3 linked regions of the Notamacropus eugenii genome follow. Each later gene encodes a partner of the first gene's protein in a complex. Links are inferred from orthologs where the notes say so. Each region holds a gene or a part of one and is shown on either strand. Other genes may lie near its edges. The genes, in order: PPARG, NFKBIB and NRIP1.

Region 1 (10,539 bases):
GCTTTCTTCTAGAACCACCTAGAGTATTTTCCCTTTGTGGGAAAATAAAGAAGAAAGGCATTAACTAGAAAAAAAAATATTTTATCATTATTTTTAATATTATATTAGAAACATATTTCAAAATTGTGAAAAGTATACTAAAAATGAGTGAGCAAGGCACCACCTCCTTCAATGTCAAAGAAAAAATGTTAAAGAAATATTAAATTATATCATTTTACCCTTTATGTCAATTTATAGATTACTTCCAAAACAGCAAGGAAATGTGGAGTGTAGTGGAAGACATTTGTGATCAACTGATTTCCTTCCTTCTGCCCCCAGCCCAGTTGATAAAATCACAGTTGATAAAGGACAGGTAACAGAGACTTCAAGGTGTGATGATATTAAATGATATACAAAGAAGAATTTATGGTTTGTCACCCTTTTAGCAGAGGTATGAACAAAACTATTGAAATTCCAAGTGTTAGCCTATGTAAAAGTTAGATATTCCCTACCAATCCAGAGTTCCTAGATAGAAGATAGCTTTAAGGAGGGTGACTTCTGAGGGTGACTCAAAGAGAAGTGAGTCAGCCCTGGCTGTGGGTATTGTAGAGAGAAACAGGTAAAAGGACCTGACAAACAAGAAGGAAGGAAGGAAGGAAGGAAGGGAGGAAGGAAGCAATTGAAAAACACCACTGTAGGGGCATGGCTTGGAAGACAGGCCTCTCCACAAAACAGAGGCTCCAAGAGGAACTGACCAATGGCAAAAGGATAGCAGGCCTTATAGAAGGGTTTACCAGAGCAAGCAGGCCACTGGAATAGTAAATTGTACCAGGGTAAGAAGGCCTCACATCTGAGGGAAGTTCATGAATGAGTGAGCAATTAAGTGTCATCATTTTTAATATAGGCATACTTTGGAGACAGTTTGATTCTAAACTGCTTTAATAAAACAATAAAATAAGTCACATATTTTGGTTTCCTAGTGCATGTAAAAGTTGTGTTTATACTATAGTCTATTAATTGTGGAATAGTATTATGTCTAAATATATATATATGTATATACATATCTTACTTTTAAAATTTTTTATTGTTAAAAAAAATTCTAACCACCTGAGCTGTCATCAAAGTCATAATCCTTTTGTGGTATAGGATCTTCATTCAATGTTAATGGGACTGATCAAGGTGGTGGTTGCTGAAGGTTGGGGAGGCTATGGTAATTTCTTAAAATAAGAAAACAATGAAGTTTGCCCTATCTATTGAGGCTTCCTTTCACCTGAACCCTTAAAGGCCATTCTAAGGATAATTGGCCTAATTTCAATACTGTTGTGTCTCAGGGAATAGGGAAGTCTGAGGAGAGGGAGAGAGGCAAGAGAAGACCAGTTAACTGAGCAGTCAGAACACACAAACATGTATCAGTCGAGTTCATTGTCTTATGTGGGCCTGGTTTGTGGCACCCCAAAACAATTTTAATAGTAACATAAAAGATCACTGCTCACAGATCACCCTGCCAGACATAATAATAATAATGAAAAAGCTTGAAATATTATGAGAATTATCAAAATGTGATTACTAAAATTACCAAAATTACCAATTGCAGTAGAGAGGTAAGAGGCAACAGGTATAGAAAGTTTCATGAGCTGACAGGTATAGTCACTATATGTATTGGTTGCTTTCCCTCAAGCATCTTTCCTTGTTATAAAAGAAGATTCAAATGGGCATGAGAGTGGGGGTTGAGAATATGGGGAAATGAATGGAGTGTACAAGAAAACTGAATCCATAAAACTATAAAAATACAAAGAGAAAGAGAAAGATTAAGCACATCTGTACAGGAATCTATAGTTACCATAAGTGAGAAGACTGATTAGAACATTCATTTTCTTTATCCTTCTAGAGCAAAGTAACAAAATACTAGGATAAGTGTTAAATGGTTAATGTACTCTTTTTTTGGACCCTGAACTGAGTCACCTTATTTGAAGAAAGATTCTACTGAATTTTTTTAAACACAGCATTTTTTAAAAAATCATTGGTATATTAAAATGTCTGGAGTCTTTTCCCAGGGGAGCCAATTTGAGTATGTTCAGAATACTATGGAAATCAATTCAATTACGGTCAATCCACATTACTAGACCTCCATTTCCTCCCCATGTGGCACGTATTTTTATTGCACAATTATAAACAGAAGGGAAGAAATTTCCTTAGTGAGAAGGAAAGCATATATATGAATTATGTGTATATATATGTATATATATATATATATACATATATATGAACTCTGTCTATAGGTATGTATATATGCACACATATAGACATACATCCATATGCATCTAGATGGCACAGTGGATAGAGCACTGGCCTTGCAAACAGGAAGACTCATCTTCCTGAGTTTAAATCTTACTAGCTATATGACTCCAGACAAGTCATTATGTCTATGAACGTGTGTCACACACACACACACACACACACACACACACATATTTGAACTGCATATGTTTATTTGAAATGTGTGTGTTTGTTTTTGATTTGGATTCAAAAGAACTACAGCCTAAAATACAAGATGCTCCAAAAGTCTTAGTGTTGTTTAGGCTTAGTCCAATACTATTGGGACATCTTGTATCCAACTCAAAGAACCAGTGGGAATAGCAGTGTGGAGAAGGAGGTGTTAGTCCATTAGTCACATGGCATTGTGTTCATCCTTCACTGCCGAAGAAGACCATGCCATCAGAGAAATGATGACATGACTTGCGCTTGACTTTGGCTTGAGTGAGGGAGGGCTGTGCAAGGTCACCAGCCTCACTTCTCCTCCAGGGCCATCCGAATCCAGTGATCTGATATTCCTTAGGATGATTGGAGATGACCCAGGGTGCACTGGGAGACCTTGGGCCCTTTAGGTCAAGGTCTTTGCAGGTACTCACCTAGGGTGAGGCAACACCCATTCATTGAATAGGCCTGTTTAAGAAATAGCCAGGGCATGGCCCCTTTAATCAGATAAAGAAAAAGAAAGACTTCAGGCTGGGTGGGAAACAGCAACAGTTACTATTGATAATCTAAAGCTAGGAGGATCCAGAGGAGACCTTAGGCAGGGGTCCATTGGAGTCCCAGTTTCAGAGTGCAGTAGGTTTAAGGTTTTAGGAGAGGACAGGACAGACAGGAAAGAAGCCAGTAAAACCCAAGACAACTGGACACCTTTTGACCATCCAAATTTACCTTCCTCTGAAGAGAAGAAGGAAGGCGAGAGGGAGGCAGACAGGAGAGGAGGAGTTTAGAAGATGGGGGAAAGCAAACAACCATAAAACCCAACAGCTCATCTCAAGTAATCAGGACCAGAGCTGGAATCCTGACTCTGCCACTCACTGTTTGGGTAACCTTGAGCTAGTCACTTAACTGGACTTCAACATGTATATGTATAAAATGAAGCCATTAGACTAGACGACTTCTAGGGTCCCTTCTAGCTCTCAATCCATGATCCAATGAACTGATACCATTCTGCTTCATTGTTGTAAGAGGAAGGCAGTAAGTAGCCCACACATACTAGAAGAATATTTTTGAGCGGGGAAAATGTTGAGTCTACTTTACACTCCTGAGTGACTTTAGTTATGAGCATTCTGTAATTAGAACTTGGTTCATTTGGGGTTGGATCACTAATATCAATTTTCTCATTTGAGATTTTGATTCAGGAGAAAAAAAAGATTGCCCAAAAAACTGAAATAAGGTACACTCCTGGTTAGCAGCAAGGTGTGTTCTTCATTAGCATTGATGAAAAGAAGTTTTATACCTTTTGGTCATCAGAAGGCTTTTCAGTTAGGTCCCTTGTGGTAGAACTGGAGAACTGGTTATTCTTCATATACTTGGAATATGCTTTTTGAAATGAAGGGGAAAAAATTGTTCCTACAGGGTCATAAACTAGAAGATTCCATGTTTGAGATGAGTACCACAAACTTTGCTTGGTCTCAGCAGCTTTAAATATACTTCCAGTTGGTGGGGAGATGGGGAATTGAGGGAGGTGGAGAGAGGCCCCAGGACAATGAAGTGACACTGATACTGGGGAGACCACCAGGGGTCATATGTCTGATACATGCCAGAACCAGGACTGAGCCCAGGATTTCTGACTACAAATCTGGTGTTCTTTTCATCTGTCCATACTGCCTTTCAGAATATGTGATAGAGAGGATATTTTTATAGAAGATCATCTACAGCTCATATGAAACAATATTTAGTAGGAATGGAGAGAAATAAGGATCACTGATTTAGAACTGGAAAGGACCTCAGAAACTCTCAAGTCCAAGCCTCCCTCCCCCATTTTACAGATGAGGAAACTGAGGCTCCAGGATGTTGAGTGACTTAACCTGTATGTTAAGATCATAACAAGCATGAGGTAGAATTTGAATCTAGGACCTTTGTCTCCAGAGCAGAGCTCTTTCCACAATACTGTGATGCTAGGAAGTTGTGAGCATCTCACTTAATGGATCTCATTTTCTGTCTTTTGTTCCTATATATGTTTACTAGCAGTGCTTGGATTGGGTGGGATGGGATGGGAGAGAGGACTTAGAAGACTGATACATCCCTCTCGGTGACAAAGTAGATAATCTTTTGACTAGTAAAAGTTGCATTTGGGGCTGTCTGCCCTTTGTTCTGGGCCCATATCAGGGAGGTGATGCCATGACCTGTAAATGAATTGGATTACTGCAGCAAAGGAAGAAGAGGGTCGTTTGGGGTCTCAGAGGTGGAGCTGGGGCCCTCCCTACTTCAAAGAATGATTGTCTAAGCCTAGTCACTTGCCCCTTTATTTCACTACCGGGCTAACCCACCTTCAAAATCCATTGTGGAAGGCTTTAGAGAGGGAAAGAAACCTTGGAGATGGCCAGGCCCAGTCCAACCCACTTTACAGTTAGGAAAGTGTAATGCTGAGGGAAACTGAGGGAATAAGGGGAAATGACTCACGAAGGTCTTACAAGGGTCAAGTGACTTAGCTGGGCTTCCAACCCAGTCCCTAGCGTTCCAGGTGCTTTTTCTAGGGCAAATGCTGGAAAACCCTTTCTGGCCTAGAAAATCTTTGCAGACTAAGGCTGTTGCCCTCCATGAGGCACTTTCCATCCCTCAGTGAGGAGTTTCCGGGCTAAGTCTGTCCTCAAACAGTTTCCATTCTGTCTGGCCTTGAGAAAGGGCCGGTGGAATTCTACGTCGGTCTCTGGTTTAAGTTTGTCCCCTAGGAGTTTCGGGCCTATGACTGCTTTGCTGGCCTCAAGAAACTTTCCATCTAAACGTGCGCTGAGTAAGTTGAGGCAAAGTGGCCAAGTTGCTGCCAGTCCCGCAGTTCCAAAATAGTATGCCCTGAAGGAATTCAGCTCAGGGAGCTGGGAATCTTTTGGAATTTACAATTGCATCCACAAGCTCTAGACTTCCTTAAATTGTATGCAACAAACCCTAGCAAACCTCTGCATTTGCATGACTGCACGTGGGCTTTCGGAAGTCTCCCAACTTTCCCCTCCAAGGGTCTCGATACAAAGAAAATTACAGTGCTGGAAGCAAGAAGTTTGGCCACCACAGCTCTCGTCGAGGTGCCCCCTCAAACAGCTTCTGGTCTCTCTGTGCCCAGGTTGCTTCCAGCCCAACTCTGTCCCCAAGGCGCTTCCATTCTCGCTCAGGATAACAGAAATGACTCAGTTTAAGGCTTAAGTGGTCGAAGTGCTTCGGCCCCGCTTTTCTCTTCCAGATGCCAAGTCCCTGCCTCGGCTCTCCAACTGCGCCCTGCTCTGCTCTCCACTCTCCGGACCCTCGCAGGCTGTCCCGGCTGACCTCCAGGCTTCCAGAGGAGAGCCGCGTTCTTGCCCGCCTCTGCCATCCCGACCCCAAAGTTACTTCCCCGTAGCGGGCGGGGTGGGCTCACTCCGGGGAGGCAGCGCTGTCCCCCGCTCGGAGGGCCGAGCCGACCCGAGCGCTGCGGGGGGCCGGCCGCGGGCTGGTGCTGGTTCGGAAGCGGCTCCGTCCTGGAGCCAGCGAGCCAGCCAGCCAGCAGCGAGCGCGCGGGGAGCGCAGGTCCCTGCGCGCCGCCCCCGCTCCCGCCCCCTTCCTCCTCCTCCTCCTCCTCCTCCTCCTCCTCCTCCTCCTCCTCCTCCTCCTCCTCCTCCTCCTCCTCCTCCTCCTCCTCCTCCTCCTCCTCCTCCTCCTCCTCTCCTCCTCCTCCTCCTCCTCCTCCTCCTCCTCCTCCTCCCCCTCCTCCTCCTCCTCCTCCCACCTCCTCCTCCTCCTCCTCCTCCTCCTCCCCTCCTCCTCTCTCCTTGCCCCCTCCCAGTCCAGGACCCTGCCCCCAGCCTCCGCCCCCCGCCCCGGCCCCGGCCCCGGCCGCACTTGGCGATCGCGCAGGAAGAGCGCGCTGACACTCCGGAGCCGCAGCCGCCGTCACCGTCACCGGAGCTGCCCGGTCTGGCTCGGCTCAGCTGGGGCGGACACCGGGAGCCAGGGACGCCACCGGCCGCAGGTCAGAGCGCCCCCGCTGGGCTGGGCCGCGGCCGCGGGGACCGGGGAGAGGGCTGTCCAAAACAGCCCGGGGCTGGGTGCCTGGGGCCAAGAGCCCCCACGCGTCTGGGGTCCCGTAGCCGGGAGCACTCGTGTCGCCGGGTGTCCCGGGATCAGGGCTCCCTCCTCGGCCGCCGTGTCCCGGACTACGAGGGTCGCGGACCTAGATGTCTTGGGATAAAGATTCACAGGCGTGCCCAGTGGCCCGAGTTTAAGGGCACGCGGGTCTGTGTGTGCCCGAGTCACTAAAGGAGACTCGCAGCTCCTGTGGCCCGGGCCGAGGGGGCTCTGAGCCGAAAGGAAGCCGCGCAGGGTGCGTGTTCCCTGCCCCGGGACAAGAGACTCTGGGGTCTTATGTCACGGAAGAGAGAGGGCACCGAGGCTTGGCTCCAGGGCTAAGTGGCCCCGGAAAGGAGTCGTAGAACTTAAGCGACCTGGGGTCAGAGGGAGCTGAGTCCGAGTGCCCTGGAATACGGAGGGTTGGGAAGGGGGTCACTGTCCCCCGAGAATAGGGAGGGAAGTTTCCTGGGAGACTGTGTGCCCTGTGTGAAGGGCGGACGCCATGCAAGTGGCTCCCCCCCGGCCTTGCCGACCTAGGCAAGGGAACAGAGCATCTGTCTCTCTGTCTGACTGTCCTTCTGTCCGCCAGGTCTGCCCTGGGGTTGTAGTGCAGGGAAGTAACAGGTGATGACAGCCCCCAGCCCTCCCGAAGTTCTGGGAGCATGCACGGGGCAGGAGGGGCCCAGGGATGCCAGCCTGCTTCCGAGCAGCAGGATGAGCGCGCTGGTACTAGGAGTTCCCCAGTGTGCCCCGTGCTGCCAAGCTGAGTCCCTCGATGCCATGTGGGCACGGCGCAGGACAGCAGCAGGCTATGCTCCTCTGAACTCTTGCGGGGGAAACGAGGTGGGTCAGGTAAACAGAGATGACAGGTTCCTTGGGGTTGGGGGTGGAAGGAGGGTGTGAGGGTGAAGAGAAAGGTGGTACTTTGTGCCTGGGCTTTTGGGGAGGGGCCAGGGAAAGAGCGCCGGAAACTGGGAGTCACCGATCCACGGCTTTTATATGGGGTCAGGTGAAGAGGAGGAGCAGCTGCTCCACTTTGATCCGAAGGGGTAGGAGGGCTCCGTCGGCACCTTCATCGCCGCTGACTTCTACAACTTGGGTGAGTCAGCTCGCATCAGCGACATTTTCTTGAAGTGCTTTGGTGAGAAAGTTTGCGGAACGTTTGGCATTTGCAGTGGTGACTGACAGCGGAGCCGGCTGAAGCCCTGGAGGGATCCTTGTGAGACCACTAGCCCATAAAGTCCGAGTGAAAGCCAGTAGTGATATTCTGGTAATAACTGACCTGTAATACTATTGGGGACTTGGAATATTTATCATTCTGACCTAAAAGCATTAAGGGCTTTTAAAGTAACTTTGCCTAATGAGCTTAAGGCCAAAATGCATAGGTGTAATTTCTTCTGGTAATTTGCTTGAATTAGCTGTTGAAAATATTTGGACGGGGAAATGGACTTTGGACATATTTTAATTAAAATGTATCATTTTATCAGCCATGCTACTTTTCACTTCAAAGGTGTGGTTTTGGTTTTTGTTTTATTTTTTTTCAAGTTGTGAAAAGAAAGTTTCTCTCTATGGAGAGATCAATGAATTACTTATTCATAAAACGGACCCTGTCAAACTAAGTGCCTAACCACAGTGGACTTCAGGTGCCCTGTAACCCTCCTCTTGTGCATAGGAAACTCATCATTGCTATGTAGTAACGTAGAGCTAACTCCCCCTTCTTGTTCTCTTTAGGAATTGGACATGGATGTTCCATAAAAATTTCGGGGGAAATTACTTAGGAAATTAAATACTGTAATAAAATGATGGACAGGTATCATTGATCATCATAAGCCTCCCCCCCAAAAAATAAGCCCTGATAGCCTTTTTGTGATTGTACATCGATTATACATTTTCGAGTAAATAGTAATAGACAAATTTCAGGATTTTTCTAATTGTTACAATAAAATGTCTTAGTTTTCCATTTTTGTGAATAACTTCAGCTTTAAGTATTATGCAGTCATGGACAATTTTACATGAGAAATTAAATATTTGTAATTACTAAATCATAGAATTGGAACTGAAAGGGTAATTAAGAAAAGTTTTTGGAGAATTGGAGTTTGAGATTTGATGTAAGAACAAAAGTTCCTGACAGTTTGGGTAGAATGGATTATGTCCCCTTCCCCCAAAGGTCTTCAGGCAAAGGTGGATGCTTGTCCTGTTGTAGAGGGGATACAGGTAGGGTTAGATGGCCTCTGATGTCCCATCCAACCTGAGAGTCAGGAATTCTGTGGTGGCAATTATACTCATTTTCTCACTTAAATCGTGGTTATTTGTATATCTTATGGTGGCCCAGCCTCTTTCACTATATTATAAACTCTTTGAGGGCAACATACCCTGCCATCTTTCTTTTCCCAGAGCTTAGTCAACAGTAGGTGCTTAATAAGTGTTTATTAAATTCAATCGAGAATATATCAGTCAAAAGGAAAATGCAAAAATAGAACTACACATTTTTCTTTTGTCATAACATATACTTTACACAAATGATTTTCTTCCTCCTTTATTTAAATCATATGACATATGATATTCAGTATGCTGACGATACCTTTAAAACTAGATGGGTATATTAAATTTTAAGACTCAGCTGGGGACCAGCATGGCTTTTTCTTTTCTTTGCTACATGATATAGGAAAAACCCTACTTCTGTTGCTCTGATACCAGATTTTTATCAAATATTCCTCTTCAGCCCTTTGTTTTCTAGTTTTTAACCACAAGCACAGTAAAACCAGCATTATTGAAACTAACATTGGCATCAATAAAACAGGAAGCTGCTCAAAGTAGAAATTATAGTTTCAGAGACAAAATGACCCCCTTTAAGAAAAGGAAAAAAAAAGCATTTCTCTAAAATTGCTTAAGTCAGATTCCTGCCTGCCCATGTTGGGATGGGGAGAGTGGGTTTGGATTCTTTAAAAGCCCAAAAACCCCCGGACCAATCCATAACTTCATTAAAACTAAAACGTGGACCAGGGTCACCTCTTTTAATAGATCTTCACAACTTAGCTACTTGGAAAACAATTTTTGGAATTGCAGTTTTAAATGATAAATGTAGCATTTTCTTTGAAAAGAGCTAGTTTCCTGTTCTTCAGAAATTAGGTCTCTGCTGCCTTACATATTTCAGTATTATTTATTTTAAAAGAGTGATAAATTACTTGTAGAAGAATTACAGTGTTACTTTCAAAGTCCTCAGGACATTTTAAATTTATACTGGAGGAAAAAAAGAGTTTGATTTAGAGGTATGAATCAGAAATACATTATGATGCTGGCTCTCTTTGCCAATAAGCTGTGTGAATTGTGAACATATTCCTTGTTCCTCGTCCTCCTGAGAAGTCTGTTTGCAAACTCTCTTCTCAGCCAGCCAATTTGTTAATTAATTAGAGATGAATTAGAGGTACTTCTGTATAATTATGTATTATTATAATTCTGTTACATTTAGGCTATAAACAATACATTGCATTAGTAACAGAGAAATCTTTATGAAACAAAAAGTTATGATGTTCTTAAGTGTTTTACATATCGAGGCCTGTATTCTTTTCTTGAAATCTGCATCCTTAAAGTATTTTTAGCCATCTCTTCATCCATTATTTTCTTCAGCTGTGTTTATATAGTTAGAGACTAGGAAAGAAAGATTCCCTCATTATAGTTCACCTGAATTTGGAAGTACAGTTCTGGCTTTGACCTTTTGGGAGCTGTGTTAACAATCTATATGTAGTAAATTGGATAGACTGAATCCTTAGGTCTCATCAGGAAATAAGATGTGTGAGTATTAGTGGCAAGAGGAAAAGTTGATTTGAACCACTACTAAATGAGGCCCTTTTTCATATCTAACAAAAAAAAAAAGTTACATTTTTAACATGAGTTTGACATTATTAAAAATCTATTCAGTTACACTAATGAAGTAATAGTGGAAAACACCTTAACTGAAGCACAAATTTGGTCTAATTACAATCCTTTTTT
Region 2 (9,656 bases), on another chromosome or scaffold:
AATGGCTGCGGTGCCTGATCCTCTTCTGTTGACTTTCTCATTCAGAGATCTCCAAGCACCATCTGGGTCCTGAGAGCGAGGCAGAGAGAGAGGAACAGGAGGTGGAGGAAGAGGATTTCAGGAAGAAAAAGAGGGGCCCAGGGGAGGTTGAGGGGGAGAAGAGGTTGGGCCAGGAGGTGAGGGAGGAGGAGGAGGAGGAAGTGAAGGCCAAGGAAAAGTCAGAAGTTAAGGAACAGGAGGTGAGGGGTCAGACCAGAGTTCAAGAGGATGACAAGAGGAGGAGGAGGTTGAGGAGACCAGAGGGGTCCCAGGGCTCTGAGGAAGATGAGGAGGCAGAGGAGGCTTGGGGCCAGGGTGTGGAGAAACGTGTGGCAGAGGCTGCCAGTGAGGAGGAGACAGCCCAGTTTGAGGAGGAGAAGGGGATGAGGGTGTGGCAGGGGGCTAGTCCAGCCAACAGATACCAGCACCACCAGCCCCGTTCTGAACAGGAATCTGAGGAGGAGATGGAGGCAGAGAAGGTGAGCCAGGAAGGCTGCTGGTCCACAGGGGACAAGGGTGGCCAAGGTGGCACATGGAGGATGGAGGGCAGAGGGGATCAGGAAGGCTCTGTCCAAGTCCTGCCTCAGGCAACATGCAGTGCCTACTATGGGCCAAGCACTGGGGTGTGTGCTGGGGGTACAAGAGAGGGAAAAGACAGGCCCTGCCCTCCAGGAGCTCATAGCCTAATGGGGAGACAACGTGCACACAGATCTATAGGCTCTAGTCAGTATGAGTAGCAGAGGGAGGACCCAGAGGGGCCTGCCTGCATGGGCAGAGAAACTTCCTTAATCTGGGAATGGCCTACATGGATGAAATCCTGGCCTCTGGAGGCCAGAAGAGGCATGGGGTGATGAAGAAGGGTCTCCTTAGAGCACTAAGTGACATCCCTCTCCCCGCCCCCCCCCCCCCAGGAACATGAACTGGCTCGCCTGGAGCAGATGGGGGAGGAGCTGAAGAAGGCAGCCGAGGCACTGGGCAGGAGGGGCTGAGAAGCAAATGTGAATGCCAGGCACCTGCCCCACCCACCCTCGCTCATCTCAGAAAACTGGGCTACGGACTGGTTCCTGCCCTTCTTGATCAGCCCCTCTCCAGGTGGTGGGGGGAGGGAGCAAGAGAGGGTCACCAAGAAAACAGACTGGGGGGGGGGTCAGAGATTTCTGCCCCACCTGCTCCCCTCTCCCCCAACGTAAATAAAGCACAGATAAAAGCATGCCTTTCCTCCCATTGGTCTGTTTCTGAATTCAGATGCTCTGGCCCCAACAGATCCCTGGACACTCCAGCCAGGGGAATGAGAGTTTTATTGAAATTAAAGCTTTTCTACAAAAAAAAAAAAAAAAAAGCAAAGAAATTGGCTAGAGATAGCCAGCAGGTGAGGAAGGTGTGCCTCAGTTTCCACTTCAGCTTCCGTGGACCACGATGTCATCATACTCATCCTAGAGGATAGTGGAGTCAGGAATTGATTCTCCTTCATCCTGGGCCTCCCCCCAAGTTCCCCATCTCCCATCAACCCTCCCCTTCTGGAACGATCAGTTACCAGACCACCCTTCCCCAGTGCTCTCTCTTCTTCCATCCCATTCATCCAAGTTTCTCACTGGCTGAACTCCCCCAGGTCACTTACACCTTCATCAGTATCGCTGCCTCTCGGGCTGGAGTCTTCCTCTTCCTCAGACTCAGGTTCCGGGGCTCCATGAGCACGCAGGAGACGGGCGAGGAGGGGGTCTGACCTCAGCGTGGCACTACCCAGCGGGGTACGGCCTCCATACATTTGGGCCTTGGGGTCTGCGCCGCCATCCAAGAGTAGCTCCAGGACCTCAGCTGCCTCTGCCTCCACAGCCAGGTGGAGGGGACTCCGCCCACACGTGGGCTCCTGATTGGGAAAGAGAGTGCATGTAAAGGACATGTCCCCCCTTTCTGGAGCCCCAGCCCCCACCCCCTCATCTATCCCTAGTCACTACTGCTGACAACAGTCTCTTCCTAGAGGTTAGGCCTGTCCCCCATTTGAAGGACCTGGTATCTTCATGCCTAACTCACCTTGTTTTTCAGACCATGTATGATCTGAAGGGGACCCCGCTTGTCTCAAAGAAGCCCCTCTGCCCACTGTGGGTCGATGTCTGTTTTATAGCTCCCTCTCAGAGGAAAGCAGTAATCTCCCTCATTTAGACTCCCCCAATCTAGAGAAAGGAGCTGGGGGTGCGGAAAAGAATCTCACAGAACAGATACATGGAAGGAGGGGAACAGCAGCATGGGAAAAGGGAGGAGGGCCTGGGAGTTGAGGGCAGACAGGGTTCTGTATCCTTACTGGTTTGTTGAGATCTGCCCCTGCTTCCCGGAGCAGCTGAACCATCTCTGTGTCCCTGTGGATCACAGCCACATGGAGCGGAGTGTGGCCTGTGGAGTTATTTTAGAGAAACAAAGATTTAGAAGGCCTTTAGGGAATACATTTAGAAAGCATTTAAGGCAAATGAGCATACTCAAAGGAAATGGGAGAATATGCATTTAGTGGGGATCTGGCCCTAAGTTCAAATCCAGCCTCAGACACTCACTTGCCTGTGTGGACTGTCCCTGGGCTAGTTCCTGAACTCATTTGTCTCATCTGTAAAACGGGGAAAGCAGGGGAAAGTGATGACACCTACTCCACTGGGTTGTTGGGAAGATCAAATCAGATAATGCTGGGAAAGCCCTTGGCACAGTGCCAGAGGCAGAGTCACTCCTATGTCCACGTAGCCATGGCTACTGTTTGCATCCCCCTTGTTGGGAGATGCTTCCAGCCCCCAGGAATCAGGCTGCGTCCATGACAGTGGGGAGAAGCATTGGCTGGGCCATACCCTGGTAGTTGGTGCACTCCAGCTGCTCCCGTCTCTCCTGCTCCTCCTCCTCCTCCTGGGCTGTCTGGCCCTCAAGGGGCCCCAAAAGGGCCCGGGCACAGGCATGAGCCCCAGCCCTGCAGGCCAGGTGCAGGGGCGTGTGCCCACCTCGCTCTGCCACACAGAGCCCGGCCCCTGCGGCCCGCAGCTTCTGAGTGAGGGCTGCCTCCCCCAGAATGGCCGCTATGTGCAGAGCCGTCTGTGGACAGAGGAACACAAGTGCAAGCAGAAGCCAGTCAGTCCTGGGGGTGGGGGGTTGGGAGGGCCTCTTCCTGGCCCTGCCGGCCCCATCCACAGGTAGGGGAAGGACCTCACCTGGCCCAGGTCATTCTGGAGATCCAGGTATTCAGTACCTGCCGTGAAGTGAAGCAGGAAGTCCAGGAAGGCTTCGTGCTGGTGAATCACTGCCAAGTGCAAGGCCCTGGGCAGGGGGGACACAGAGGGTCAGGGAGGTGGGGGTCGGGCCACCTTCGAGGCCCCGTTGCGGGGCAGCAGGGGAGAAGGAAATTAAGCTCCCTAAAAGAGTCACCGTTCAAAGGGAAAAGAAGGGGGTCAGGCGGGGTCAGGGGTCAGAGGCCAGGAGGTTTGGAGAGGGACAGAATGTAGGAGCAGGAAAACTAATCCAAGCCATAACTCAACGTCCCCTGTCCCAGGTGATGGCCTGAGGACCCCCGGGGCCTCCTAGCCCTGCCTTCACACCTCCCCTCCCTCCCTCGGTTTCCCCTCCGGTAAGGGGCGGGGATCCCCCCTCCACCTTTCCACGACCCTGGGAAGGGGAGAGCCTTGGGGGCAGGGGCAGGGGCAGCGGGCCGGCCCCTTACGTGTCCCCGTCGTCCGTCACGTAGCCGAACACCTCGGGCGCCCAGCTAGCTGGCTCTTCGTCCTCGTCCTCCTCCGTCCTGTCCCGCGGCCCGTCCGCCGGGGGCCCGAGCCCATCGGGCCCTAGAGACCCGAGCCCGCTGTCGCACCACTCCTCCGCGAGCCCGCTGTCCCCGGACTTCACGGGCCCCGCCGGGGCCGCCATGGCCTACGCAGAGCCCTCCCGTCCCGGGCCCCCCCGGTCCATCCAGAGTCTTGGTCGCCACAGCCGCCGGCCCGGGGATTCCGCGGACCCGGGGAATTCCCCCTGCTCCCCAACTCGCTCAGCGCTTCGACCAATCAGGGAGGGTCGCACCGCCCTTTTTAGAGATGACTGCCAATAAGATCGCGCAACCTTTCCGGCAGGGCTCCGCCCCTCGCACCAAGTTGTCCAATAGAGGCAATAGACGCATTTGGTCGGCTCGGCTCGTGTATCCGCCCTCAGTCCCGCTTTACCCGGACGGCTTCCGGCGCCAGGCACACTGGGAATCGTGGTTTCTCTGTGAGCGGTGGGTCACGCCGGCCTTCAACACGGCGGAAAGACGGCGCGGGGCATTGTGGGATTCCCGCGATGGCCACATGCTCTTCTGGGAATTGTAGTCCATAGCCCGCCCTGCCTGCCCCCGCCCCCGCCCGTGTCCTGCGCCGTCACGGGACGGAGCAGTCGGTGACAGCCCCGAGGGCCCCTGCCCGCCCCCCACGCTGCTGAACCCATCCCCGGGGCCGGGCCCATGGCCGAGGCGGACCGTGAGTCGGGGCACGGGTGGGCTCTTGGGCCGGGCCTAGGACCAGGCCCTCTGGGCGAACGGCTATGGGGACTCGCCACCCGGAAACCACCGCGTGGGGCCCCGATCTAGGGTTGCGGGGAGGAGAATGGGTTGGGCCCTGGGGGCCCCAGTCTCCGCAGCGCCGGCTAAGGCTGGTTGGGAGCCAAGATGGGGGGTCCTAATTCCTGGGGTGTCCAGTACCTAAGGGCCTCGTTTTAGGGTGGAAGGAAACAGGTGCCGCGGCTGCTGCGGGGTATGTGGTGGAGTGGATCTGGTTACCAAGGACCGTGACCTCTGGGAAGCCTGGTACCTGGTTGCTAAGGGCCCCTCTGCACCCCTGCCCGTGGCCAGTTGGGGTCCCCCTCCCCGCTTCTCGCTCCCGCCGCCGCCCCCACGCTAACGGCCTCCCACCCCCCCTCCAATGTAACCCTGTCTCCCTACCCCCCTTCCCTAGCCCCCGGTCCCCCTCAGGACGAGGCAGGGAAGGTGCAGGATGCTCAGGTGAGAGGGGGCGCCCTTGGACGTTCGTGATTGGCTGGCCGGGGAGGGGACGAGGTCTGTGATTGGCCGCTAGGGGAGGGAGAGGACGTCTATGATTGGCCCGTGAGAGGATCCGCGCCTCCCCCGCCTGCTCCCATCACTCATGGCTCTCCCCGGCTTTCCCCCAGGGAGTGGGTCGCCCCGTGTCCCAGATCCACAGGGCTTATTCACCCCGCCCCCAGCCCTGAAACAGCAGATCCGCCCGCCCATCCCCCATTCCGAGGACCCTAACCCCCTCCTTCCCCACCTACCCTTCCCTCCTTTGACCTCCTTTCCCCAAACTGTGCCCCTCCGCTTCCCTCTCTGGCTCTCCTTTCTAATGACCCACCTTCCCTCTGACCCTCTTTCCACTGACTCCCCTTTCCCAACCCTCCTCCCGTGATCGTCCTCCCCAAGCGCCAACCCTCTGGAGCCCCCCTTGACCCTCCTCCCTCTCTGGCCGTTTTCTCCCAGGACTCAGATTCAGAAACTGAGAGTGGAGCTGCATCTGGAGAGACAGAGAGTAAGTTGTCCTGGGTGGTGAACTGGGGGGGGGGACAAGACTGGCTGAAGCCTAGTTGGGACCAGTGCCTGCCCTCTTCCTGCATAACATCATCCTCTGGTCTGCCCCACAGTGGACTTTTTACGGAATCTCTTCTCCCGAACCCTGGGCCTGGGCAGCGGGAAGCGAGAAAAGTTGTTGGATGAACTTTCCTTGGAAGGGGTGACCAAGTTCATCCAGAGTGACCAATGTGAGTTCTTGCTTCTCCCCATCTCCTTTTCTTAGCTCAGGTTGTCTACAGGATGTGCCTTACCCCATCCACCCAACCTCAGCTCCCATGTCCCGGGTTGGGACCACTTCTCTCCCTCCCCTTACCCATTCCTCAGGAAACCCAGTGAGACACATCCAGACCAGGTGAGAACTCAGGACTAAAGGGTGGGACTCACCTTAGGATTCCACAGGGCCAAAGCAGTCCGGGTAGGGAAGTTGTCCTTCCAGGGAATGAGACTAGAGAAACAACCCCAAACTGCTCTGGTCTTGAGGTCTCTCCCCTCACCTTTTTTCTCTTCCAGGTCAGAATATCATCTGCATGGTAGGGGCAGGGATCTCTACATGTAAGTAGCTGCTTCCCTGTGCCCTCAGGTTCCAAACTCCCCCCAGAATGGAGAAGGGGGGCCAGATCCCCAAAGGAGCTAACCTAGGGGTTGGGATAAGGCCCCTCTCACCAGTGAGGTGGCCTCCCCCAGGGATGCCTCTTCTATTACCCTTGTCCCCAGCTGCTGGCATCCCTGACTTCCGCTCCCCGTCCACCGGCCTCTATGCCAACTTGGAGAAGTACAACCTTCCCTACCCTGAAGCCATCTTTGAGATCAGCTACTTTAAGGTAAAACTGTCATTAAGAACACCCCACTTTTCAAGTTTTCACAGACTCCTTGGAGGGAGAACCCTTCCCTTTCCTGAGCCTTCATGCTTTCAAACACTAGCAGGGCAGATCCTGCAGCTAAATCCTTCATCTTATCAAATATCACTAGTGGGCCCCCCAAATCTGGGCTGCTGATCCTGGGTAGGGGATTGTAAGGAGTGAAGGGTTCACGTATCTTCATCTGTCTTTGTCTGTTTTCCCCAGAAACACCCTGAGCCCTTCTTTGCTCTGGCCCGGGAGCTGTACCCAGGGCAATTTAAGGTGAGCTTAATCAGAGGAAAAGGAAAGGAAAGGTACACAATTGGGGGACAGAGTCAGGGCTTCCCCATCTGGGCTTGGGGGGGGTGGGCTGCTCCCCACAATGGGTGGGAGAAGAAACTGGGAAAGTCCCAGTTGTCTAACCACATCAAAGACAATGTGTGTGTACCCCTTGGCCCTCACTCCCCTCCACCCCTCTGTAGCCCACCGTGTGTCATTACTTCATGCGCCTGCTCAAGGAGAAGGGCCTACTGCTTCGCTGCTATACCCAGGTGAGGGCAGCCAGGGAAGGGGGGAGGATGAAATGCCCACACTCTACAGGCTGTGTCCTACAGAGGCAAGTCTGCCTTGCCAGACCCAGTGGGCAGCCCCCCAGATGGGCAGTGGCACCAAAAATATAATTCTTCCCCAAAATAACCACAGTGCATCATTTGACTTCATTTGTCCTTTATAAATACTTTTGAGTTTTATTTTTGGAAAGAACAAACATGTTCTATGATATCTCTGTGTTCGAACGTTAAATTGATGACTAGCCAATTCTTTCTTACCCTAGTCAGATTTTCTTTCCATCCATTCTGATGTGAACTTTCGATTTAGTTTAATTTCAATAAATAATTTTCAGACGCTGTGGCGGAAAGCTGGGTTACACACCTGGGCAAATGCACAGTTCCAATTTCAGAGCCCCTCCCCTCAGGGAGTTTCAAGTCTAGTAGGGGGATAAGGAGGAGACGCTCTAACTGACTGCTTCCTCTTCCCTCTCCCCCAGAACATCGACACACTGGAGCGGGTGGCTGGGCTGGAACCAGAGGACCTGGTTGAAGCCCATGGAACATTCTATACCTCTCACTGTATCAGCTCCCACTGCCACAAAGAGTATGACCTGGGCTGGATGAAAGGTGAGGCTTGGGTCCCTGAGGGCAGGGGGAGGGGCCCTGAGGAAGGGAATGCTACTCTCCTCCCCTGGCCTCCAATCCCATCATTCCTTACCTCATGTTTTCTCCCCCAGATAAGATCTTCTCAGAGGTGACCCCCAAGTGTGACAAATGCCAGAGTCTCGTGAAACCAGGTGAACCATGGGAAAGGGAAGAGGGGGCCTTGAAGGAGGTCAACAGTCACGGGAAACAGCAAAAATATCCCTTCCCTCCCTAGATCAAGTTCGAGAGCTCTTGACTGGTCAGGGCTCAGGAGCCCCTGGCTGTCATCCCCTTGCTCTCCTTCTGGCACCTGGGGACCAACCCCCTCCCCTGTCTCCCTAATCTTAGGTTCTTTCTCTTTCTGTCTTTGTCTCTCTGTCTGTACCTCCCCTCTCTCCCATCTTCCTCTCCTTGTCCTTCTGTCTCTGTCTTTCCATCTCTGTCTCTCCTCCATCTGTCTGTCCTCCATCTCTCTCTCCTCTGTCTGTCTCTCCTCCATCTGTCTCTCTCTGTCTCTGTCTCTCCTCCATCTCTCTCTCTTCCATCTGTCTCTCCTCTGTCTGTCTCTCCTCCATCTGTCTCTCCTCTGTCTCTGTCTCTCCATCTCTGTCTCTCCTCCATCTGTCTCTCCTCTGTCTCTGTCTCTCCATCTCTGTCTCTCCTCCGTCTGTCTCTCCTCTGTCTGTCTCTCCTCCGTTTCTGTCTCTCGGTCTCTCCTCCATCTCTCTCTCTCCTCCGTCTGTCTCTCCTCCGTCTGTCTCTCCTCCATCTGTCTCTCCTCCATCTGTCTCTCCTCCATCTGTCTCTCCTTCGTCTCTCTCTCTCCCCAGACATTGTCTTCTTTGGCGAGACCCTCCCAGCGCGCTTCTTCTCCTGCATGCAATCGGTAGGTGATCCATCTGCTCTGCTCCCTGACATCTACCCAGGACCTAGAGCTCCCGGAGCCCACTTCCCGAACAAAGAATTTCGTTCACTTCCCTTAGATGTCAGAGGGCTGACTCCTAATTTGGTTTCCCAGAGTTGAGTGTAGGGCTCCCCCTGGTGGTGGTTCTTGGAAGGTCCCTCAGGGCCAGAGTGATAGGGACTGGGACCCAGGGTGCTGGGAGGAAAAGGGCTGGAGGAGGCAGAGGAAGGGCCGGCCGAGAAGCCTTGAAAGCCAGTCCGAAGCAAGAGCAGAGGACGTGGTGTTCTGGCCCAGATCTTCCCGGGGTCTTCCAGACTGAGCTCTGGGTGAGGGGGTGCAGGGGCAGGGGAAATGGCTTGTCCCTCCTGTGTCCTCCAGGATTTCCAGAAGGTGGATCTGCTTATCATCATGGGCACCTCCCTGCAAGTGCAGCCCTTTGCCTCCCTCGTTAGCAAGTATGGGGGGAGTTGTTGCTGGGGGGGGTGCGGTATTGAGGGAGACCAAGGGAGGAAGGCTGCCTCACTCTCTCTTCTCTGTCCACCCCCTACCCCAGGGCCCCACTTACGACTCCTCGACTCCTCATCAATAAGGAGAAGACAGGACAGGTAAGTGTTCTCTGGGCTCAGCATCCTACAGAGCCCCAGCATGTCTGAGGGAGACTGCCTCAGGGGCCTCTGATTCAGTCCCCCCTTTATATTTTTGGAGGACCCCACCACCACCCCTGACCGCCATTAAGTCCCTCTCCATCCCACTGCTTTCTGATTGCCTTCTCTTTTGACAGCGGGATCCCTTCTTGGGGCTCATGGGTATGGGGGGAGGCATGGATTTCGACTCGGACAAGGCTTACAGGTGAGGAGCCACTGGCCTGGGGGGTAGTTTGAAGGCTGAGGGTCTCCTGACTTGGGTGGGGGAGGAGGGGCAGACTGGGAACAAGGGAGTGGGGAAGCTGGGAGGTTCTACCCAGTTGTCCCTGTTTTTCACCCCTCCCCTTCCCCAGGGATGTGGCCTGGCTTGGGGACTGTGATGAGGGCTGTCTGGCCTTGGCTGACCTCCTGGGATGGAAGGTATGCATCTAGGCCTCCTGTCCCATTGTGGGGCACAGGCTCTTG
Region 3 (10,501 bases), on another chromosome or scaffold:
GGATAAAAATTTTTAACTATGCCAAAAAATTTACAAAAATCTTTGTACTATAACTACACCTATACCCCAAAGAGATCAAAGAAACAGGTAAAGGATGCATATGTACAAAAATATCTACAGCCATTCTTTTTTGGTAGTGGCAAGGTCCTAGAAATTAAGAGGGGTGCCTATCAATTGAAGAATGGCTAAACAAATCACAATATATGAATGTAATGGAAGAAATAATGAAAGGAATAGTTTCAAAGAAACTTTGAAGAGTTCTATGAAATGATGCAAAGTGAGTAGAATCAGCAGAACAAATTATAACATTATAAAAACAAACTGTGGATGCTGAAGAATGCTACCCACACCTCCTGACAGAGAGGTGACAGATTCAACATACAGAATGATATATAAATTTTTTCAAGGCCAAGAAGGGAATGTCTTTTGATTTTACTATGTATATTTCTTATAAGGGTTTTACTTTTTCTTTTTTAATGAAGAGTGGAAAGAAAATAAAAGCTTTTTAATTGACACAAATTTTTATTTTAAAATAAGATGGAAAGTACCATTTTTTATTGATTAACGAGAGTTCAAGCCAGCCTCAGATCTGCCTTGTGTCCACCGTCCACTTCTACAATGGATGCAACTGCTGATGCCTCAGAGCTCCACCCTCTGATCTTGTCTTCAAGCTCCCAATCTGGCACTATTTCCCAGATTGGTTCACTTTATCTATTTCATCTCTGGCTTCTGTTTGAAGACTTCAAGTTACGGGTACTATATTCTGAGGCATTTCACTTCAAGGGACTCTTAATTGTTAGGAACTGTCTCCCTACACTGAAACTAAATTGGCTTCTGTCAACTACTGATTTTGTCTCCTAGGGTTATGCAGAATAATTGTAAGCACTCACAGGCATAAAAGCTCCTCAAATACTTGAAGACAGCTATCACAGAGTCTAAATCCTTCCCTTCTCCAGGCAAAATATGAATGAATAAGCAAGACAGCATTTAGTGGGCACTAATAATGTACTAGGAACTATGCTAAGCACTTGGGATACAAATACAAAAAGCCGAAGGGCCTCGTGCCCATAACGAAGTCACATTCTGAGAAGTCTGACAAGACAGAAGCCAGGGAGAAGTGTTATGGTCTAAGTCACAAGGATGGTATTGTTGATTTGATTGCTATTTCAAGAGCAAGAGGTTTCGGGGTATGTGAGAAGGATAAGCGTTAGCATAGAAAGAAGATGGCTAAACTCCCCTGTGAAGCCCACTGTCCTGTCCTATTTATTCCTATTTCCTTACCCCCTACCCTCCTGTACCAGTTTAATGCCATCACCACAAGTTTCAGTGTTTATATTCCTAGTTCTCCAGTGTTATCAGCCAGGTTCTAGCTTTAGTTTCCTTCCTTACACAGTCTTGACCACACGGTCAGCTATTTTAATAAAGCCCTCTTCTTCACCTTGATGCCTCTGACCTCCTACTGTCCCGTCCTAACTCTCAACTTTAGGTAACTCTTACTATTTTGCCTCCTCTGTTCCTATTTCCTAGATGCCAAACTTTGCTGCAAGTCTGCTCCAGTGTGTGCTATCTAAGCTCAGTTAGGCAGCCCTTTCACTCTCCTTCTAATTATTCTGTTGGCTGTTATTTCACATTCCCCACAAAGTGGGTTTCACACCGCTGTTCTCTTCTCTAGTCCCTAAAGTTGCCCCCCTCCAGCAGTCTGAGAAAATGACTGCCTCTTACACTGCAGGCTGATGCTTACATAATCTGTGCTCTCTTATCTATCCCTTTCTACTTACATGATCATCCCATAGTTCAAAGTTTCATCACTTTCCTACAGAACTTTTGCCTTCTAATTGGTCTCCCTGCCTAAAGTCTCTCTCCTCTTTAATCTGTTTTAGACTTAGCAACCAAAGTGCTATAACTAAAGCATAGCATGGTACAGTAAAAAGAGTAAGGCTTTAGAGTCAGTAATTCATAACCAGTCTGACATTTACTATCTGTATGGCAATTCATTTAGCCTCACCTGGTCTCAGTTTTCTCATCTATAAAATAAGAGGCTTAAGCTGGATAGATGGCCTCTAAGATCCCTTGCTAAATAAACTTCAATTGTTCCCTATTTCCTTCTAGGAAACAGAATTGTCTCCACAACTGCTTTACAAAATATTTTATAACTGATTATCCAAGAATAATAATTGATAAAGATACTGGATAGGGCATTCTCTTTGATAATCTCACCTACCATTTAATTTGCTGTCAATCTCCCTTTGGTCCCATGCAAGAATCTAGTTGCAATAAAATAATAACAATAATAAAAAGAATCTTGTTGGGGAGAAAAACAATTATGATTCTCAGAGAGCCCATCTTTTCTAGTCATAGGTTTGAAAGGAAAAGATGAATTTGAAGACACACTTGCTAAAATATATTGTTGGTGGAGATATTAACAGGTTAACCATTCTACGTGAGGTAATGTGGCATTACGCTCTTTAAAAAGTGACTACAATGTCCATCATTCTGACCCACAGAGCCTACCGATAGGCATACATCCCAAGGATGTCACAGACAGAAAGAAATGTCCCATATACATTACAGTGTTACATAGCAGCACTTTTTATGTTAGTGGAAAAACTATAAACAAAGATCAAAGGATGCAGAATGGTTAAACAAATTATGGCACATGAATTTAATGAAATATTAAGATGCCATAAAATGATGCATAAGAACAATTCAGAGAAGCATTAGAAGTCTCATATGAGCTGTTGCAGAATGAAGTAAGCAGAGCAAGTTAAACAAAATACAATATACCTGTAATAACAAAATACTTTTAAATTATATTAACCAACTTCAGCTATGAAAAAGAAATTTTAAAAATGCATCTGTTTCCCTACTTTGCAAACGAGGGACACTTGGAAGGATGAGTAACATCAAACAGGTCAGGCTCTGGATGGTGGTTAGTTTCATTAAAATACTCCCCCACCTCCACTCTTTTTATTCTTTGTTACCAAGAATGGTCTTTGGGTAGGAGAGGAACATGGAATATGTTCAGAAATGAAGATCATTTAAAAACAAAAGCTATCAAGAAAAATTAAAAAGCAAAAGAAAATGTGGATTTGGAAGTGATTTAAGTACACTTCACTCTTAAGTAACTTTTTCTTTTTGTGTTCAGGGCAAAGGAATGATAAAACTTAAAAAAAAAAAACAGCTTCATATTCTCTAGGGTCATTGCTAGTAAATATTTTTTAAAATCACTTTGTAAGCTTGTTTAATGCAAGAGTTCCCTCAAAATTCTATTTAAAATGAAAGGTTTCACAAGCACAGTTTGGTAAACCAATACTTAGGCAAGTGAGAAAAGACTGTAAATCTACTTGAAAATATATTTATGTTTTATTATCCATAAATGAAAGAAACTTTCTAAAAGCTTTTATGCTACAAAAAAAGTTTTAATGAGCCTAAGCACTAATATGGGCAAGACTCTGCGTACTCAAAATGAAACAGCTTTTCTTACCACATGCCTTTTACTTACATAAAATCAAAGAAAGTAGACTTCAGTGTTCATCACATAAAATAATAAACATTCTTTTTCTACTGATAGATAGCAAATTTAACAATACCTAGAAGCTGATGGCCAAATAAGTCATACAGTAACGTAATTACTCTCCTACTAAGGACTTAATAACCTATATAAATAAAATGCCATACCTTTTGATTTTCTCCCAGTATCTGAAAGAATGGATGCTGAAAACCATGTATCAATTAGAGTTACAGGCAACAGGTAAATACATCTGTGGGTCAATCTTTCCAATTCCAATAGTTCCTGAAAAAAAATTTAAGGAGGACTGGAGTTATTTTACAATGCTCATTACTTTAAAGGAACCCTTTAAAGCATTTAATAATTCTGAAAAATAACTGATATTTATATAGATCTTGAAAATTTGCAAGGCACTTTTTCACATTATTACAGTTTTACAGATCTGAAAGGTATACCTATCATCTGTCTGAACAGGGATTCAAACACATCTGTCTACACTGTAGTCTTACCCTTTGCATGACACCATTCTGTGACTTCAATAGAAGTCTTATAAGGGATTAGACCACCTCTTACAAAATAAGGAGGGAAAAAAGAAAGTACTTCATTCAAGGAGTGGAGTACTTTTATAGCTAGTCTAGTCTTTCCCAGATGATGACTTTTGACCATACCCAATGGAAACTGTTGTTTTAGATGAGTATAAAATGTTCTAAATCAAGTATCCATTCTTCAAAAATTGATACTTTTCTGTAGAAAGGGAGAAATCTGTGCAAGAAACAGCCAGGAAATTGTGAGGGTTTTTTAAGTGTAAAAGGGAAATCATCAGAATGACTTAATAATAAACTTAATTATAGAACACTCTTGCTGTCTTGTTTTGTATACATTTTCTCCACCTTGTGTTCTATAACCTGTTTTTCCCCCTACTTAAGACCATAAGCTTATACAATATGAAATCCCCAAACTGATATCCCCAAAGAGTAGCTCTTCAGTTTCTATTCTGTACTCCAATTTTATTTTACTACTGTCTTTATTTTGTTTAAAGGAGAAGAGTCCTTATAACAGAAAGCTAAACAAACTTCTGCATGTTCTGATAAGAGAATTCCCTCTTCCCTCCAAAGTATGTCAATAAAAAAGATGCATAAGGATTTACGATCCGCTCCTCTCCACTCCAACACACACAAAATACTCCTCGCCCCTAGTAGTTAACCTTGGGAGCTTCAGAAAAAGACAAGGTTTAAATACAATCACATACACTCATCATTTCACAGTTGCTACCCCACCTAGACTTGGCCAATACTAGAGTAATAAGGCACATCTAGCAGCACTGGCCACCCCCTTCCACACATCTAGGAAAAAAAGCTTTCAAAGAAGGAATACCCCATGATTTTGGACTAATTCTATATGTAATCTAAACTCTTAGGCCTGCCATGGTTCTATAGTAGGTAGCTCTTCAGTTCCTACTGTTTATTCCCATTTCATTTTATCAGTGTCCAACTTGTTCAAAACCAACATGTAAGGTGGCATATAATCTCTCTGAAATTCCTTGAGAAAATTAAAGCAGTGTTTTAGAACTCCATGGAAACACTACCCTAAGTTAAAGACAAATACATAAAACTGCCACAGAAGGGGAAATAATAGTACTGCTTAATAATTTTTATTTTAATTCCGTACATAGAAAATTGTGTCTAAGAATTAACTCTTATCCATGCCAATATTTTTCACGAAGGATAATCTTCCAGAAGGAGGGAAGAGCTCCCAACTAAGCAGGTGAGAGAGGATTCAGGTTTCTTCTTTCCTAGGTCCTGCGCCAAGTGGCTTAGCATTATAGCTCAACATCAGGAAAACTCATGCCAGAAACAAGTCTGCAACTCCTTACTGCCCTCTTGGCAACTAAGAATATCATCTGTCACTAAAGTCATAATTAAAGCCAGAATAGTCTTTATAAAATTTAGGAAGTGAATGGTGGGAGTGTGAAGAATGGGTAGGGAAGGGGTAGGTCGAGAAGGTTATTAGCCAGAGGGGTCAAACTCCAAGTCAGTAAGTGCTGCAGGTACCAGAAAAAATATAATTAGGAAATACTTTGCAAAATAAAAATATAAAACAACATAGATAAAGTTCATTCATGGTTTTCTAAGCCTGTAAAGTTCCGTTTCTATTTAAGTTTGACAACAATGGTGTTAGCTACGGGATAAACTGAGAAAATTTCTCCAATGAACAAAACTAAAATAAATAACTTGCGTTAAAAAAAAAAATTTGACTTATTTATTCTCACACTTTAGTTATTTTTGAATGAAATTTCTCCATTTCTTCAGCAGCTACATAAAAGTATTACCAGATCACTTTAGGCAGTAAATTTAACCTTATGTTCACTTTCCACAAACAGCATAACAAATCTTTCTAACAAACCGCTTTCCTGACTGTGCTAGAAGAAAAACAGTACTTTAATTAAATTACATTGAAATTTTTCCAGAGCAAAATTAGTGACTTCAAAGTCATGGAGTAAAGAAAAGTAAAAGATAAAGATGATACATACCTTTAATACTAGAAATTATCGTTATCCAGAGTGCAGGATACATTTCTAAAAGTTTCTGATTCAGTTATAAAAACTAAATAACAATCAAAGTAATTTGCTTAGAACAAGTTTACTATGAATAATCTATTGCACCAATGCAAAACACAGGCACTTGAAATGCTGAACAGATCTATTGTGGTTGTTGTTCAATCCTATCCCTCCCTCTTGACCCCATCTGCGATGTTCTTAGCAAAGATATTAAGTGGTTTGCCATTTCCTTCTCCAACTCATTTTACAAATGAGGAAAGCAAGGCAAATAAAATCAAGTGACTTGACCAAGGTCACACAGCTAGTGTCTAAGGAAGAATTTGAACCCTCTTTCTCCTGACAAGGGCTAGTGCTATATCCACTGCACCACCTAGCTTCCCTTGCATAATTAACGAAGAATGGAAAATTTATGTCAACTCATCTCTTGGCGGAGACGGTGCAAACTTTTTTCTTCTATGTAAATATGTATTAAACTGAAGAAATGGAGAAATTTCATTCAAAAATAACTAAAGACAATATAAAATACTTGAGAGTCTAACTGTCAAGACAAACCCAAGAATTATATGAACACAATTACAAAATATTCTTCACACAAATAAAATCAGATCCAAAAAACTAGAAAACTAATAATTGCTCATGGGCAGGCTGAGGTAATATAACTAAATTAATCTACTTAGTGCATACCAATCAAACCACCAAAAAAAATAAAACTTTTATAGAGCTAGAAAAAAAATAACATCTGGAACAAAAAAGTAAATGACATCAAGGGAATTAATGAAAACAAATGTGAGGAAAAGTGTCCTAGTCACACCAGATCTCAAACTGTATTATAAAGTTGTAAATATCAAAACAATCTAGTATTGGCTAAGAAAGAGTGGAAGATCAGTGGAAAAGATTAGGAGCACACTACACAGTAGTACTGACCAGTTATCTAGTATTTGATTCTGACTGACCACAGTAATGACCACAGTAATCTAGTATTTGATAAACCCAAAGATCTAAGCTTTGGGAACAAAAACTTATGATGTGAGAAAAACTGTTGGGAAAACAGTATAACAGAAACTAGATATAGACCAATATATCACAAACTGTATGTCAAAATAAGATTAAAATGAGTACATCATTTACACATAAAGGGCAATATACCATAAGCAAATTAGGAGAACATGAAGAATTTACCTGAGATATATGGGTAAGGAAAAAATTTAGGGCCAAATAAGCTATTGAGAACATTACAAAGTGTAAAAGAGATCATTCTGATTATATAAAATTAGAAAGTTTTTGCACAAACAAAACAAATGCAAGCAAAATTAAAAAGGAGAAAACTGGGGGAAATTTTTGTAGTAAATAGGTCTAATAAAAGCCTCATTTTTCAAATACATAGTGAACAGAGTCAAATTTGTAAGAATACAAATCACTTCTCAATTGATAAATGAATAAACAGGCAGTTTTTAGACAGAAATCAAAGCCATCTACAGACATCAGAAATGTTCTAAATTATTACTAAGAAAATGCAAATTAAAACAGTTCTGAGATATAACCTCACATTTATCAGACTGGCTAATGACAGAAAAGGAAAAAGACTAATGGTGGAGGGGATGTGGGAAACTGAGACACTAATGCTCCATTGGTGGAGTTGTGAACCATTCTGGAGAACTACTACATAGGTTCCCAAAAAATATAGGCCCAAAGTACATATAAAACCATGTATACCCTCTGACTCAGCAATACCACTACTAGGTCTGTATTCCAAAGAGATTTTTAAAAAAAGGACCTATATATACAAAATATTTATAACAGCTCTCTGTGGTGGCAAAGAAGTGGAAGTTGAGGGGATACTCATCAACTGGGGAATAGCTAAACAAGTTGTGGTATATGATTGTGATGAAATACAATTGTGCTATAAGAAATGACAAACAGGATATTCTCAAAAAACCTAGAAAGACTTACATAAACTGATTTAAAGTGAAATGAGCAGAACCAGGAGACCACTGTACACAGTAAGCAATATTATATGATAAAGTAACTGTGAATGACTTGGCTCTTCTCAGAAACACAATGATCTAAAACAATCCCATTAGATTCATGAAGAAAAATGCTGACTCCAGAAAAAGAAGTGATGCTGTCTGAATACAAACTGAAATATAGTGTTTTTCATTTTCTTTTCTTTCTTTCTTTGGTTTGAGTCTTCTTGCACAAGGTGACTAATGTGGAAATGTGCTACATGATTGGATACTATATCAAACTGTGTAGTGTCTCAGGGAGGGAGAAGGGAGGAAAGCAGGGATAGAATTTGGAACTCAAAACTTTTTTTTAAAGTGATAAAATTGTTTTTACATATAATGGGGGGGGGGGAATAAAACTTTAAAAATGTTATTCCCAGAGAACATAAAGTTACAAGTATCCATTTTTGATGCAGGTTGCTAAATAAGTCACTAGAGGTTGCTGTCTTACATTTCTGAAAGTACACATACAACAAAGCATCTTGCCTAGAATTTAAGAAATTTAAGTCATAATTAAATTCCAAAGAAATTAAGCTATAAATGTATTTAAACAAAACTGAGTACATTTAATAAGAAGAAAGAATTATATTTATCAAAGCAACAATATTACCATCCTCCTATAACTTTCACTTAGGAGGTCATCTCATAATGAATCTAATATTTCACATACAAGTCAAATAACAGGTTAAGGGAGAGATTGTATATTCAATACAAAATATCCTATATACTAAAATAGATGATTAAATCAATGAAAAACCATTCACAGTATAAAAAGTTCTGGAAAATGTAAAGATGGCACAAAAAGAAGGAATAAGCAATGCTATATCAACTACAACCAGAAGAGAATCAAAGAAAAAATGGATTTTCTCAAGCACCACATGAATATAGAGAAATAAAGCAAGAGATGAAAAATGAAATTAAAAGTCTAGAAGAAAAAATTACAGGTAGAAAAAGAACTTAGCTTAGAACAGAAAGAAGTAAACCTTACCCAAATAGAACAGAAAACTAGAATAGACCAAACGAAACTCAATGATTCCACGAGACAGCAAGAAATCTGAAAATAAAAGTCAAAAGACTGAAAAAATATTATCAGTAAGATAGCTGATAGAAAAAAATGACCTGGAAGACTGTTCAAAGATAGAGAAATTTAAGAGTTATAAAAACCAAAGAGAAGAAAGTTATCAAGAGGAAGAGAGTGATCAATAGTGTCAAAAGCTACAGAGTTTAGGCAGAGCCCTGATGGCAGAGCAAAGGCAGGGACTCACCAGGGCTCTCCCCCAAACTCCTAAAAATATATTTAAATAATGACTCTAAACAAATTCTGTAGCACCATCACTCAAAAAAACACAGAATGAAATAATTTTCCAGCCCAACAACTTAGGCTGGCAGGAAAGGTCTGCCAACACCTGGGTTGGAGTGAAGACTAGTCCCAGCATAGGCTGTGCCAACACAAAGCAAAGCAGGAGCAGGCTTCTGAAGCCACTGAAATCAGCAGAAGCAGCAACTACTTCTGGACAGTGCACCCTCTACCCTGGAAGAAGAGCCCTATTTTAATACAGACTAAGAGTCAAGTAATAGAGTGGGAATATGAGCAAGCAACAGAAAAAAATTCTGACCATAGAAAGTTACTTAGGTGACAAGAAGATCAAAACACACACTCAGAAGACAACAAGGTCAAAGTTCCTACTTCCAAAGCCTCCAAAAAAAATACGAATTGGTCTCAGGCCATGGAAAAGCTCCAAAAGGATTCTGAAAATCAACAAAGAGAGGGAGAAGGAAAAATTGGGATGACAAATGAATATGACACAAGAAAATTATGAAAAAGTGAGTCAACAGATTGGTAAAGGAGTCACACACATACACACACACACACACACAAAACCTAAAGAAAATAACATTAAAAAACTAGACCCAAATGACAAGAGGTTCAAAAAGCCAATGAGGATAGTGCCTTTAAAAGCAGAACTGGCCAAATGGTACAAAGCTCGCGGAAGAAAATAATACCTTAAAAATTAGAATGGAGCAAATGGAAGTTAATGACTTCAGTAGAAATCAAAAAGCAATAAAACAAAATCAAGAGTGAAAAAATAGAGCACAATGTGAAATATCTCACTGGAAAAAAAAAACAGACTTGGGAAATAGATCCAGGAGAGATAAAATATTATTGGACTACCTGAAAGCCATGTCAAAAGAGCCTAGACATGATGTTTCAAGAAATTGTCAAGGAAAACTGCCTTAATCTTCTAGAACCAAGGGGTAAAATAGGAATGGAAAAACTCCACTGATCACCTCTTGAAGGAGATCCCAAAATCAAAAAACTCCCAGGACAAGCAGAAAATATTGCAAACAGTCAGAAAGAAATAACAAGCAGAGTGGAGCCACAGTCAGGATAACACCATACTTAGTAGTTTCTACACTAAACATTCAGAGGGC

The links.
Region 2: the proteins of PPARG (region 1) and NFKBIB are in contact, whole or in part, in a crystal structure (PDB 9CK0), measured with the Homo sapiens proteins. The link is inferred for Notamacropus eugenii from reciprocal best matches to the Homo sapiens genes PPARG and NFKBIB. Residues at the interface, in NP_056953.2 of Homo sapiens: Gln322, Thr325, Lys329, Phe334, Leu339, Gln342, Val343, Leu346, Lys347, Leu496, Glu499, Ile500; in NP_002494.2 of Homo sapiens: Asn286, Pro287, Ile288, Leu289, Ala290, Leu292, Leu293, Arg294, Ala295.
Region 3: the proteins of PPARG (region 1) and NRIP1 are in contact, whole or in part, in a crystal structure (PDB 9CWN), measured with the Homo sapiens proteins. The link is inferred for Notamacropus eugenii from reciprocal best matches to the Homo sapiens genes PPARG and NRIP1. Residues at the interface, in NP_056953.2 of Homo sapiens: Val321, Gln322, Thr325, Lys329, Phe334, Leu339, Gln342, Val343, Leu346, Lys347, Pro495, Leu496, Glu499, Ile500, Lys502; in NP_001426204.1 of Homo sapiens: Ser130, Thr131, Leu132, Leu133, Ala134, Leu136, Leu137, Ser139.

The regions. Positions count from the first base shown.
Region 1 is NC_092874.1:432,710,823-432,721,361, reverse strand, and holds the start of PPARG (peroxisome proliferator-activated receptor gamma), read left to right. Parts: upstream 1-6,307; 5' UTR 6,308-6,451; intron 6,452-7,527; exon of another isoform or gene 7,528-7,648; intron 7,649-7,708; exon of another isoform or gene 7,709-7,819; intron 7,820-10,539. UniProt on the Homo sapiens protein: Nuclear receptor that binds peroxisome proliferators such as hypolipidemic drugs and fatty acids.
Region 2 is NC_092876.1:32,022,115-32,031,770, reverse strand, and holds NFKBIB (NF-kappa-B inhibitor beta), read right to left. Parts: upstream 4,066-9,656; 5' UTR 3,928-4,065; coding exon 3,725-3,927; intron 3,325-3,724; coding exon 3,219-3,324; intron 3,103-3,218; coding exon 2,865-3,102; intron 2,428-2,864; coding exon 2,339-2,427; intron 1,907-2,338; coding exon 1,658-1,906; intron 1,473-1,657; coding exon 1,437-1,472; 3' UTR 1,320-1,436; downstream 1-1,319. Other genes in the region: CCER2 (coiled-coil domain-containing glutamate-rich protein 2), read left to right, coding at 46-518, 951-1,028; SIRT2 (NAD-dependent protein deacetylase sirtuin-2), read left to right, coding at 4,493-4,508, 4,983-5,029, 5,522-5,570, 5,683-5,799, 6,122-6,163, 6,326-6,432, 6,676-6,732, 6,933-7,001 and 7 more. UniProt on the Homo sapiens protein: Inhibits NF-kappa-B by complexing with and trapping it in the cytoplasm.
Region 3 is NC_092876.1:410,458,764-410,469,264, forward strand, and holds the start of NRIP1 (nuclear receptor-interacting protein 1), read right to left. Parts: upstream 3,794-10,501; 5' UTR 3,679-3,793; intron 1-3,678. UniProt on the Homo sapiens protein: Modulates transcriptional activation by steroid receptors such as NR3C1, NR3C2 and ESR1. Also modulates transcriptional repression by nuclear hormone receptors.